2 linked regions of the Macaca mulatta genome follow. The protein of the gene in region 1 interacts with the protein of each later gene in a pairwise test. Links are inferred from orthologs where the notes say so. Each region holds a gene or a part of one and is shown in the gene's direction. Other genes may lie near its edges.

What was found. The genes of interacting proteins can lie anywhere in the genome.
Region 2: the proteins of BFSP2 (region 1) and SYCE1 interact in binary tests that used the Homo sapiens proteins (3 or more experiments, as listed by UniProt). The two-hybrid records come from large-scale screens. The link is inferred for Macaca mulatta from reciprocal best matches to the Homo sapiens genes BFSP2 and SYCE1.

The regions. Positions count from the first base shown.
Region 1 is NC_133407.1:36,465,106-36,471,461, forward strand, and holds the start of BFSP2 (phakinin), read left to right. Parts: upstream 1-2,075; 5' UTR 2,076-2,103; coding exon 2,104-2,592; intron 2,593-6,356.
Region 2 is NC_133414.1:145,684,336-145,689,906, reverse strand, and holds part of SYCE1 (synaptonemal complex central element protein 1), read left to right. Parts: intron 1-2,774; coding exon 2,775-2,837; intron 2,838-3,549; coding exon 3,550-3,609; intron 3,610-3,967; coding exon 3,968-4,042; intron 4,043-4,705; coding exon 4,706-4,753; intron 4,754-5,001; coding exon 5,002-5,056; intron 5,057-5,571. UniProt on the Homo sapiens protein: Major component of the transverse central element of synaptonemal complexes (SCS), formed between homologous chromosomes during meiotic prophase. Requires SYCP1 in order to be incorporated into the central element.

The DNA.
Region 1 (6,356 bases):
ACTCATCTTTCATCAGGTCTTTGGAGGCAGGGTGTCAGAGTACATCCCCCCCTCACTCTCCCCGCCTCCAGGGCTGAGTGGATTTATATATAAATATCTTTAGTCCAGAGAAGTCTGAAGCTAACCTGGCCATTGAGTGTCACCATTCTGTAGAGAATAACAATACCTAAACATGACACATTTGTGCACAACTTAATCAGTAGCTTGAACTTTTCATTCAGCCTTGGACAATACATCTTGGGATTCACAATAATGCAGATCCTCAGAACCAAGTCAGTGTCACCTGTATAGGAGGCTGTTACTGTAACACAGGCTCGCTTGCCCCTTCTGGGTGCATCGGGTGGTGTTCACAGCATTAATGCTATGTCTGAATAAACAAGGACACTACTGTCCTTTACTTAATCTGATTGGTTCTTCATCTGTTCCTCAAATAGCCAACACTGATATTTATAAAATACCTTCCCGGCCATCTCAGACAGACAAAGTGGAAGACAATAAAGAAAGGAAGGGTTGGAGTGTCCTGGTCAGCAGGAAGGAAGTGCACACAGAGTCTTCTAGTAGGCGACCAGGTTTTTTACCTTTACCTGTGTGACCTCAGGTAGGTACCCTGCTCTCTGGGTGGTGGGCAACAAGGAAGGTCCTAAGTAAGTCACTGGCCCAGAGGTTGGAAGAGGGTGTCTGCTCCCAGCTCTGCTACTTTCTGGACACGGGACCTTGGGCAAGTCATTGCAGTTCTCAGGGTCCTCCTCACGTAAGAGGATAGTGGCCAACTGTAGAACATATGATATGGTACTTTTGGAACTGTGAGGTTCACAGCCCATATGGCAGTACCTGTCAACCCTGGACCTCCTTCCTCCTGAGGCTGAGTTGAGAATTCCATGAAATAAACTATACGATTCATCCACACACCAGGCTGGATCAGGTATTCACTAGAGGTTGGCTCCCTTCTCCTTCTCTCACCTGAGGTACATTCCTACATTACAGCATTTGGAAAAATATCCAGCTCTGGGGTTTGGTGACCTGGTTTCTCCAGGGTAAAACTTATGTACAGCGGTTTTTAGGTCCATGTTGTCATCCTGGAACTGGAGGAACCTTTCTGACCCTAGAGAATGGATTGAGGTGTGACCCTTGATGGTTTAGTGGATGCCAAGGTCAGTAATTAAAACCCAGGGGTGTCATCATATCCTAACTTGGGGCACCCTTGGAGAGCTTACCGGAAAACACCGTCTTTGTTGTTTTTCTCAGTTTTCCAACAGATGGAGAAGCAGAGGTGTAGGGAATGGCTGGAACATAATGTGTGGGACCTGAATCTACCCAAGGTCCTTATCTGGTGCATCAGAGAGTTGGAGGCTCATGCCAATGTTCAAACAGTGAGGTCCAGAGGGAGGAAGCATCCTGGCCAACAGCAAGCAGCTGATGAACAGCAGAGCATTAGAGGACAGAGCTGAGGAGGAAAGGAGAGAGGCGAGGCAAGGACCTGAAGCTGCTGTCAGGACTGAGAGAGGAAACCGTAGGCAAGTCTTTTCTCTTGGGTCCCTGGAGCTGCCTCCTGACACTTTTCATCTTCCATTGCCTGTGTGGACATGTGTTCACATTCACATGTGCCAGTACACATAGGGATGTAGAAAGCCCCAAAATAGCTAGATTGAGTCCTAGCTTGTAATTTGAGGTCTGGGGCAAGTGATCACCACACTTGTGATCTGAGGTCCTTGAGCCTCAGTTTACTCGTCTGTAAAATGGGGTTGCCTGATGCCTGCCTTGCCCACTCTTAGGTAGTAAAATGTACAAACCCAAATGGTCTACCCCCACAGCCTGCACTGATCCAGCCTCCCCCACCACCAGCAGAATAATCTGGGAGGTTGGGCACATGACCCTGCATCAAAGAATGCATGAGTGCCTCTCTGCACACAGCCCTGGGCAGTGCCCTCTTCTCTTTCAGCTCAGTGAATGATGGAAACTCATGGAAGACAGCAGACAAAGCAGCCCCGGGGATAGGGGAGATTCCAGAGAGGCCCGTGACCAGGCCACAGGGATGCTGGGGCTGTAAACCAAAAGCCACTGGACTCTGTAAACCCACTGGGCGCCACAGAGGCAGAAGGGGTGATGAGCGAGAGGCGAGTAGTAGTGGACCTGCCCCCCAGTGCCAGCTCCAGCATGCCCCTCCAGAGGCGCAGGGCATCTTTCAGGGGGCCACGGTCATCATCCTCCCTGGATAGCCCCCCAGCCTCCAGGACCAATGCCATGAGTGGCCTTGTCCGAGCACCTGGGGTCTATGTAGGAACAGCACCCAGTGGGTGCATAGGTGGCCTGGGTGCCCGTGTGACCCGCCGGGCCCTCGGCATCAGCAGTGTCTTCCTTCAGGGCCTGCGGAGCTCAGGCCTGGCCACAGTGCCGGCTCCAGGTTTGGAGAGGGACCATGGTGCTGTTGAGGACCTAGGGGGCTGCCTGGTGGAATATATGGCCAAAGTGCATGCCCTTGAACAAGTCAGTCAGGAGCTGGAAACACAACTGCGGATGCACCTGGAGAGCAAGGCCACGCGCTCGGGAAATTGGGGTGCCCTACGGGCTTCCTGGGCCAGCAGCTGCCAGCAGGTAAGTGTCCAGGCTGTGCCAAGGGCTTTGCAGAGGGCTGGGAGGGGCTGCTGAGGGCAGGAGTAAGGTTGTGAGTAGGCTGAGGCCAGAGAAACTGACCATAATGCCCTACACTTTCACACTTAAAATGTTCATGATAACAACAATGCTCCTTTTTACCAAGGTTTACCAGGAGCCCACGCTAGCCCCCATACGTGCACTATCCACTGTCTTCTTTACAATTCGAAGACATGCTATGCAGCGGATCATTCATTGATTGCACTTTTGAGATGAGAAACTGAGGCATGTAATTTTCCCAAGACTTCAAAGCTAGTAGAGGGATGAAGATGAGATTTGAATCTGAATTTTTGTGCCTTCAAAGTTGCATGTGCCCCATTACCCTGAGCTGCCTCAGTCACCTTTACTGTTGAGAAGGGATTTTTACAGTTATTATCCAGTCAAATACCATTGGATGGATGTGGTATTAAGAACAATGAATAAATGGAGGTGTGTTCCTGTATCCACCTATAATCACCCTGTTCAACAGAAATGTGAGGTACATTGGTAATCAACAAGTTTCTATTACCCACAGTAAAACAAGTAAAAAGAAGCAGGTAAAGTTAATAGTATAGCTTACTTAACTCTATATGTCCAGAATGTTATTTCAACATGTAATCAATACAAAATATATGAATGAGATAATTTACATTCAAGTAGAACTTTCTGCATGATGGAAATATTAATATCTTATATCTACACTGTCCAATCTGGCAGCCACTAGCCAGATATAGCTATCAAGCACTTGAAATGTGGTTAATGAGACTGAGGAATTGCGTTTTTGTTTTATCTAATTTTCATTAATTTAAATGTAAACAGCCATGGGTAGCTAATGGCCATCTTATTGGACAGGGAAGGATGCAGAGGTTTCATCTTTCTCCCTTGCTTGGTCAGCCCTGCGTTTCCCACTCTCCAGGGTGATTTCTGCAGAGTCTGGAGCTCATCCATCATGTCTGGCCTGCAGCCTGTAGTTCTAATGCTGGGACTCCAGCCAGCATTGCACCTCTCAGCTGGTCTCTCTGTGGATGGTTGGCTTCTCTCCTCCTCTTTCTCTCCAGACGCTGGTCTTGGGATCACTCTGAGCAAAATCAGTCTCTAACCCACCAGGGACTGCCAACTCAGACCCTTGGCCCCCTGGAGTCCAGTATGCAGCCTCCCAAGAGGAAGTCACAAAATTTTATTTGTGTGTAGCCGGGGGATGCTAAGCAGGTGCACACAGGGACTCCCCATTTGCCCTTCCTGCCTCCCATTTCGTCCCAGGATGCTTCTCCTGCACTGCTCTCAGTGCCCACTGACAGCACAGAGTGCATGATGAGCAGCACCATCCTCTCAGGCTCTCCCCCTGGTGCTGCTGTTCTGCTTGCATCCATCCGGGCTGCGAGGGAGAGCCATCTTAGAATAGTCCAGGGTCTTAATGCCTGTCAAATCTAAGAGGCAGCCATTCCTCCAGGATTCTTCACAACTGTCCAAATATTGTGCCATAACAACCACCAGAACATCCCTAGATACTCCAATATGTCAGCATCTGCTGGACAATCGCTTGCACTCAGATGCCACACAGACTTGTCAGGAGAAATCAGGTGTCCCAATGGCTAGGTTAAAAAGTAGGGCCACAAAACTTAGTTTATACTCAATAGATACCGACTTGCTCTGGCTCCAGATAGCTACAAGAGCCCTTGCAACGTACTGACTTCTCTGGGCCTCAGTTTCATTATCTACAAAATGGGTATAATAATGCTTAGATATTCCTGCAAATCCACAGACAAATAAGATGACTGGCTCCTGCCTACAGGTAGAGTACAGACTAGGAAGCTCTAAAATCCTGTGAGCGCCGCAGCCACACACCAAGACATGCGACCTCTGTAGCTGAGGGCCAGGGTCCCACATGGGCTCACTTTCCTCTTCAGTGATTGTAAATGAGGTCCTGGGTATTAATAAAGTTCTCTTTTTCTTCTTTTTTAAAAAATTCATGGCCTTGAAATTAGACCAATTGATAAAATGGAGTTATTATTTCTTTTTTTTTCTTTTCTTTTTTTTTTTTTTTTTTGAGATGGAGTCTCGTTCTGTCACCCAGGCTGGAGTGCTGTGGTGTGATCTTGACTCACTGTAACCTCCACCTCCCAGGTTCAAGCGATTCTCCTGCCTCAGCCTCCCAAGTAGCTGGGATTACAGGCGCATGCCACCATGCCCAGCTAATTTTTGTGTACGTTTAATGGAGATGGGGTTGCACCATGTTGACCAGGCTGGTTTCGAACTCCTGACCTCAGGTGATCCACCCGCCTCTGCCTCCCAGAGTGCTGGGATTACAGGAGTGAGTCACCGCGCCCGGCCTGGAGTTACTATTTCTATATTGCACAGCCCAGCCTTTCAACCATATTAAGCTCTATTCCATTAAGAAGAACAAAAGAAAACTCCATAATTGAGAAACACTAGTTATTTTTTCAGTCAATCTGGCCTCGCGGAACTGCAGGAGGCCCCCACTAGGCCCCCACCCCTTTCCAGGCCTAGAGGAAATGCCACCTCCCAGCCCAGTCGTTTCACAAAGTGCTGCCTTCGTCTCACCTGGGGTCAGAGGCAGCCACTCTGCGGTCCTGGGCTCCAGAAATCCAGAGCTCTCTCCCTCTGCCCTCACTTAGGCCTCTCTGGCTGGGGCTTCCTGCCCACCTTTCCAGACTCTGGGCTCTGGTGTTCCGTGCTCCTCACAGCACCCCTTATCCCTCCCGTTTCTCCACCTGCAGCCGCCTCTTCCCCACCTTGTCCGTAGAACTCCTCCTCGTCCAGAAGCCCAGTTCCATGCTCAGGTGCCCTCATGCAGGGCCTGAGGCCTCAGAGCAAGCTCTCAGCAACTGAGCCCCGAGTTGGCACCTAGAGAGAAATTCAACTTCCTTAGCCTGGGCCCCAAACAGAGAATCCAAGAGAGGTCTCAGTCACTCGAGAGCAGGGTGGGTATGTCCATTTCGGTGGCACTTTCTTGGATCAGGCTGGAGCAAGCAGTGGGGAAGGTTCAGAGCAACAATTTCCACAAATGTTTGGGAAACACCATTTCCCTGCTTTTCAGAGGCGGATGAAAGAGTTGCAAAGGAGATGGGCTCTCCTCCCCACCGCCACCACCCCAGCTGACACAGAAAGCTCCTGGGGCCATTCTGGGGAGTGGGGGCCCCCTGTCCCCTGGAATCTCCCCCACAGACTGTCTTATCCCCACCAAGAGGAGACAAAGACAGGTTTTCAGAAAAACCAGGAAGAGAAGCCGGGGGAGGGAAACCATTGCTGTCACTGTGCAGAGAGCCGCATCATGGAAAGCAACACAAAACTAGGGCTCACACCACGGCAGAAGCAGGAAGGCCGTCCCGGGGAGGGGGATCTTCTCCATCCTTATCACTATGTAAGTTTGCGGCCAGGGTTGGCTCCACGGGTGCACCACCAGTGAAGCCTCATCGGGCCCTGCACTGGAGTGCAGCGACGCCATCAGAGATCACTGCAACCTCAAGCTCCTGGCCTCAAGAGATCCTCCTGCCTGGGCCTTCCAAAGGGCTGGGATTATAGGTATGAGGCACCATGCCCAGCCAATAGTTTTATCTTTGAATTTGTGTTTTGAAAGTGAAGTCTGGTGGGACAATGGAGCATGGACCAGGGGCTCTTGAATGGTCCTACCTCCCTCTGTCTCCCTACAACGTGTTTTTGGCCCACCCTTCTGCCCCTGGGATGCCCTTCTGACACCTGCTCCATGC
Region 2 (5,571 bases), on another chromosome or scaffold:
CAGTGTTGAAGGTGGGGCCTGGTGGGAGGTGGTCGGATCACAGGAGACCAGTTTTATTTAGATAGTGACCACCTATCTTTTAACTGGATCTCTGAGCTCTGGGAAGAGGCCACACTGAATCATGGGTGTCCAAAAAGGGAGAATTATTATGAGGCTAGACCACATGGATGCTTTAACAGTGCACTTAAGAAACATTTTTTTAAAAAAATTTCTAAGTGTCTAAAATATACTCTTCCTTAAAAACGCAAGAGTAGCTTCTGTTGCAATAATTAGTAAAAAGAAAAAAAAAAATATATATATATATATCAGGTAACACAGTACAAAAGCAAGCAGTTTAAGAGCTAAGATGAATTTGTCTGTTTACACTCTTGGGAATGCATAAGGAAAAGCAGTTTTCTCCGCAAATGGGAGTCTGATGCCTTCTCCATTTTCTTTAAGGAACCTCATGCTATTATAAACTGTTTTAGGTCCCTCATGCAGCAGAGGGTGCAAGAGAAAGGAGAGACAGCAGAACTAAATGAAGAAAATAGCCTTCAGTCAACTGAGAAGAAAAAAAAAATTTTGCTCAAAAAACACAAGGACCTAGGAGAGAGAAAAAAGAAAAATCATGAAAGCCTTTTAAACACACACACACACAGAGACACACACATATCTTGGATGTTAGCTTTTAATTAAGCTGACTTTTAAGCTTTTGAGTTTCTTTCAAATTTTTTTTCTAAATCTCTTCAACATATTTCAGCTAGGACGAATAGCTGCTATTTCAGAAGTACCAAGTATCAAACCAGAAAGGTCTTGATTTAGGAACCAAACCCAGGCTGTTACGGAAAAAAAGAAGACAGAACCTCAGCTATGGAACTGCAGTGTGGGTGACAATCATTTCTCTTTCAGTTTGGCCTGGCTAGCAAAAAGATGGCCTTGTTATGTAAATGAAACCACTTAAGTAGTCAAAATCAAAACTCTTCTCCCCCTTTTTTACTTTTACTGGCCGTTTTTTCTTCCCCCACCACCACTTTTCTGATGGGAATTTAGCCACTTCAGAGGCCTTGTTCCACATAATTTGGAACTTTCCTTTGGATTTGATCAAGTCAGATAGAATTGGCCAAACCCAATGGGAAAAGGACCAAAACAGCAAAAACAGAAAGAAACAACAAAAAAAATAGCGGTTAAGCGTAACAAACAAATGATCACACAACTTGTATGATTACTGAACACTGTAATGGTAAGGAAAAATTAAGAGCAGCTGGTTGTTAATCTTACCTTTAGCCAAGACAAACCCCAATTCAGTTACTTACCTAGGGACGGGTCTTAGGCTGAAGACTTGTCTCTATCATCTTAGAAGCAGGAAAAAAAAACCCTCAAACTTGTCTTTCCTGTTGGGAGCGAGTTCAAACTCCAGAAATGAGTTTTCATGGTAGCAGGAAAACTTGCCTTCCTTGTTGAAAGCAAGTAAAACTCCAGAAAAAGAGAAGAGTTGTTCAGAAAATAAACTCTGGCCTTCGAACGAATTTTGGGAAATGAGGGATTCCCTGGATAGGGGACTTCCAGACCTCAGCAACTTGTCAAATTAGTTTGAGCCACAAAGATAGCCAAGCTGCTAGCAGGCACTGGTAGAATATTTGTCAAAGGTCAGGAGCACCTCTACTCAGAATCCCTTTGTGGTTGCCAAAATGTGAAACCCCAAAATCTGAGACAGGTCTCAGTCAATTTAGGAAGTTTATTTTACCAAAGTTAGGGATGCATGCCTGCGACACAGCCTCAGGAGGTCCTGATGACATGTGCCCAGGATGGCAAGGTAGTCAGAGCACAGGTTGGTTTATATGCTTTTTAGGGAGACATGAGACATGAATCAACATATGTAAGATGAACATTGGTTCGATCTGGAAAGGTGGGTCACCTCAAAGCATTGATGAGACAACTTGAAGCAGGGAGGTTGACTTCAAGATCATAGGTAGATAAAAAACAAATGGTTGCATTATTTTGAGTTTGTGGTTAGCCTTTCCAAAGGAGGCAATCAGATATGCATTTATCTGAGTGAGCAGAGAGATGACTTTGAATTCATTTATTTTCAGATTTTTATTTTACAAAATCAGATACGCATCTATCTCAGCAGAGGGTAACTTTGAATTGATTTATTTTCAAATATTTATAAAAAGATTTATTTTCCTTTCACAATGTTAATGCCATAAATAATTTCTTAGATCTACTAATTTTAGTGTTAAAAATAGGTTCCAATAATTATAAAAAATTAATATGAAATATTTTATGGGGAGATTTCAGGTTTAGTATTGGTTGTATATAGGAAAGCTATTTGTATTTATGTATGTTTTTAAACTAACATCCTAAGGCATTTTGCTACTAATCCTTATGGTTTTATAGAAAACTCTCTTAAGAACTTCCTAGATTATGTCATCTGCTAGTTACAGTGATTTTTGACTCCTTGTTCCAGGTTTTTATACCTTCATTTTTTTTCTTGAATTATTATATCAGGAGCTTTGACCTTACTTTGAACAGCCTCAGCAGTGAGAGTATACCCCTGCCCTCACCCAGAGTTTTACAAAGGGCTGCCTGGTATAATTTTATCCTGCAGGGAAAAGCTGACCATGAAGGAGCCTGATTCATCTAGTGTACTGTTCACCTTAGGACAAGGAGCAGGGCTACCACTCTGGCTGGAGACCTGCCCTCAGTCTACCTCAGTCTCAGCCCAGGGGCTGTCAGATCCTTCCTCTGGCCTCTCGCCCTGCTTGATTCTGAAATATTTGGTTTTGTCTCCACAGGGCAGGACACATCCTCACAGAAAATTGAAGACTTGATGGAAATGGTGAAAAAGCTGCAGAAAGGTCATGTGTCTCCTTTGTGTGAGGCTCAGCCTGAGATTTGGGGCCAAGCAGATGTGGGTTCAATTTCCAGCCCCACAATGTATAAACTTGGGAAATAATCCTCTTCATCTTCTCTTTCTTTTAAAACTTAATTACTTAAACTAAAAATCGGGTCCCATGATTCAAAATTAAAGAAGGAAAAAGGGTAAGGAAGGCAAAGTGTTTTCCCAAAACCCTGTCCCAAACCTCTTGCTGGTCACCCATTTGGCTCCACTGCAGTCCATTAAATCCAGAAGTTGCCACCTTTACTTCCCTTCCTTTCCCCTCAACCCCTACTCCCTCTTTGCTCACTAGGCTCCTGCCAGCCATGTTCCCACCTCAGAGGGGGTCTTTGCACTGACTACCTCCCACCCCAACCCAAAGAGCTGCAGGGCCTGCCCCCCGCCACCTGATTTGGGGCTCTCATGATACCTTCCCATATCTGAGGAGCGCTTTCCACTCCTTTGCGCTTTAACCCCCCTTGCCCTACTTTATTTCTCTTGAACACAGTTACCACAGCCCCACTCAGTATCTTATTGTGTCTGTTCCCAGTCTCGCCCACCCAGAACATGAGCCCTGTGAGGGCCCCACACAGCACCTGCTTTCAGTAGGTACTGAATAGATCTGTGTTGCGTGAAAGCAGCAGAGACACCTCTGCCTGCCCTGTCAACTCAACCTCCTTTCCTCCCTGCAGTGGGAAGCCTAGAGCCCCGAGTTGAGGTCCTGATTAACCGGATTAATGAGGCCCAGCAAGGTGAGTTCAGGGGCCTTGGCTGCCAGCTAGTACCAGCTACATGGTTTGCGGGGCTCAGTGCCAAATGAGAATGCAGGGTCCCTTGTTCCAAAGTTACTGGTTATTCACAACAGCAGCAGCAGAGCCTTAAATTAAGTACAGGGCATTTCAGCATGCAACTGCCATAGTTAATATACCCATGATCCTAGCCCTGCTATCAGCAGAGCCTGGCAAGGAGAGCCTGGACTCTGGAAGCCTCGTTTCCTACTGTATAAAATCTAGGCCACTATAGATTTTCCTGAAGGCAAATGAGAAATGTCACTGTTGGCAAGAGAATAGAAGCTGCACTCACACAATGTTTTTCTGCTCTCTGGTGAAGCCAAAAAGAAAGCCAATGAAGACCTAGGAGAGGCCCGGACCATCTGTGAGGCCCTGCGGAAGGAACTGGACTTGCGTAAGAGAGCCGGGGGTCACCCAGAGGTCCCCACAGTGTCTCAAGCTACCCCAACCCTGTATTCCAGATGATAAGCATCCTTGCCATGACCGAGGGTCCTGTACCCTCTCCAGCCTCATGTCCTGCCAGTCTCCCCCTCTCCTCTCTGCTTGTGGAAGTGTTCAAGAAATACCCTCCAACCTCATTCCCACCTCAGAGCTTTTGCCAGGTGCTGCCTATGCTTCCTCAGATAATACAGGTTCCTCTTTCCTCACATCAACAGTTCTAAGTTAGAATGTCCCCAGACAGGATGACTGGCATTCCCCAGTCATCCCATCTAAAGGTGGCACCCTGTCACCATCTGGTCACATGCCCCTTCCTATTTGATGTGTTTCTTCACAGCCCTTACCCGACTTCATGGGTGTTTGTATTTTTTTCTCTCCTCCCCATGTAAAAGCATGGGCATCCTCCAGGGCCCTCACAGCCACCCTCTGTAAATGTGAAGGCCCTTTGGTGCTTACAGGGAATGTGGGCACCAGAGAGTAGGGAGGGGCTCACCTCGAGGGGTTCACATTTGGGTTGGGGGCAAGGCTGTGCCCAACTTCCCATGTGACCGTGAGCAATCCCCATCCCTGAGGGTGCGTTGCATAGTCCCTGATGCCAAAATGTGTCACTGTTTTCCAGTGCATGGAGAGAAAGTACACCTGAAGGAGATCTTGAGCAAAAAACAAGGTATCTGCCACTCCCGTCTCCAGGCTTGTTCCTTTTGCCGGCCCACAGAGGCCCACTCTCCCCCTATGGCAGCTGAAGCCTTTTGAAACCTATCCCAGCTTGCCTCTCGCCTGTGGCTTCCACTAGACGTGTAGTAAATGTTAAAGCTCAATCAAGTGTCCACAGACCTGACATGATCTGGCCGTGTTCCCCTGCCAAAACCTGATACCTTGACAGGTTCTCATAGGGCCCTGTTCCTCTCCCTACAGAGACCCTGAGGATCCTCCGGCTGCATTGCCAGGAAAAGGAAAGTGAGGCACAGAGGTAAGAGCTTCCAGCTGAGCCTAACTCTGCCCCTACCTCTTTATTCTGGTAGAGCAGAAAGAGGCAGGAAGGTGAGTCTGAGATCCACAGCTCTCATTCTTTCCCTCTAAACAATGGAGAGTCCAAAGAGTGTCTTTCCCCTTTGGCTCCAACAGCAGGCAGTAGTGTTAAGGGTAACTCTCTCAATGGCATAGATGTTCATTTGCTAAATTATCAATTAAATTTCTTCAACTGGTTTTTATTCTTTGCCTTTTACTCTTTGTCATAGTCCTTGGATGTCTGTTCACTCATCTGTCTGTTCACTTGTCTGTTGGCATTGAGCCAACCACTTGTCCATTCTCTCTCCATCCATTATCTTTTCATCCATCCATCGATTTGTCCATGCATTTCTCCACTTCCTGATTTAGCTCATTTTGTTACCAGAGGCCCCAGGCCCTAGCACACTGAGATTTCAGTTCTTTGGGAAAACCAGATGATACTAAGATGTGTGTGCATTTGCTTACTTGACCATGTCC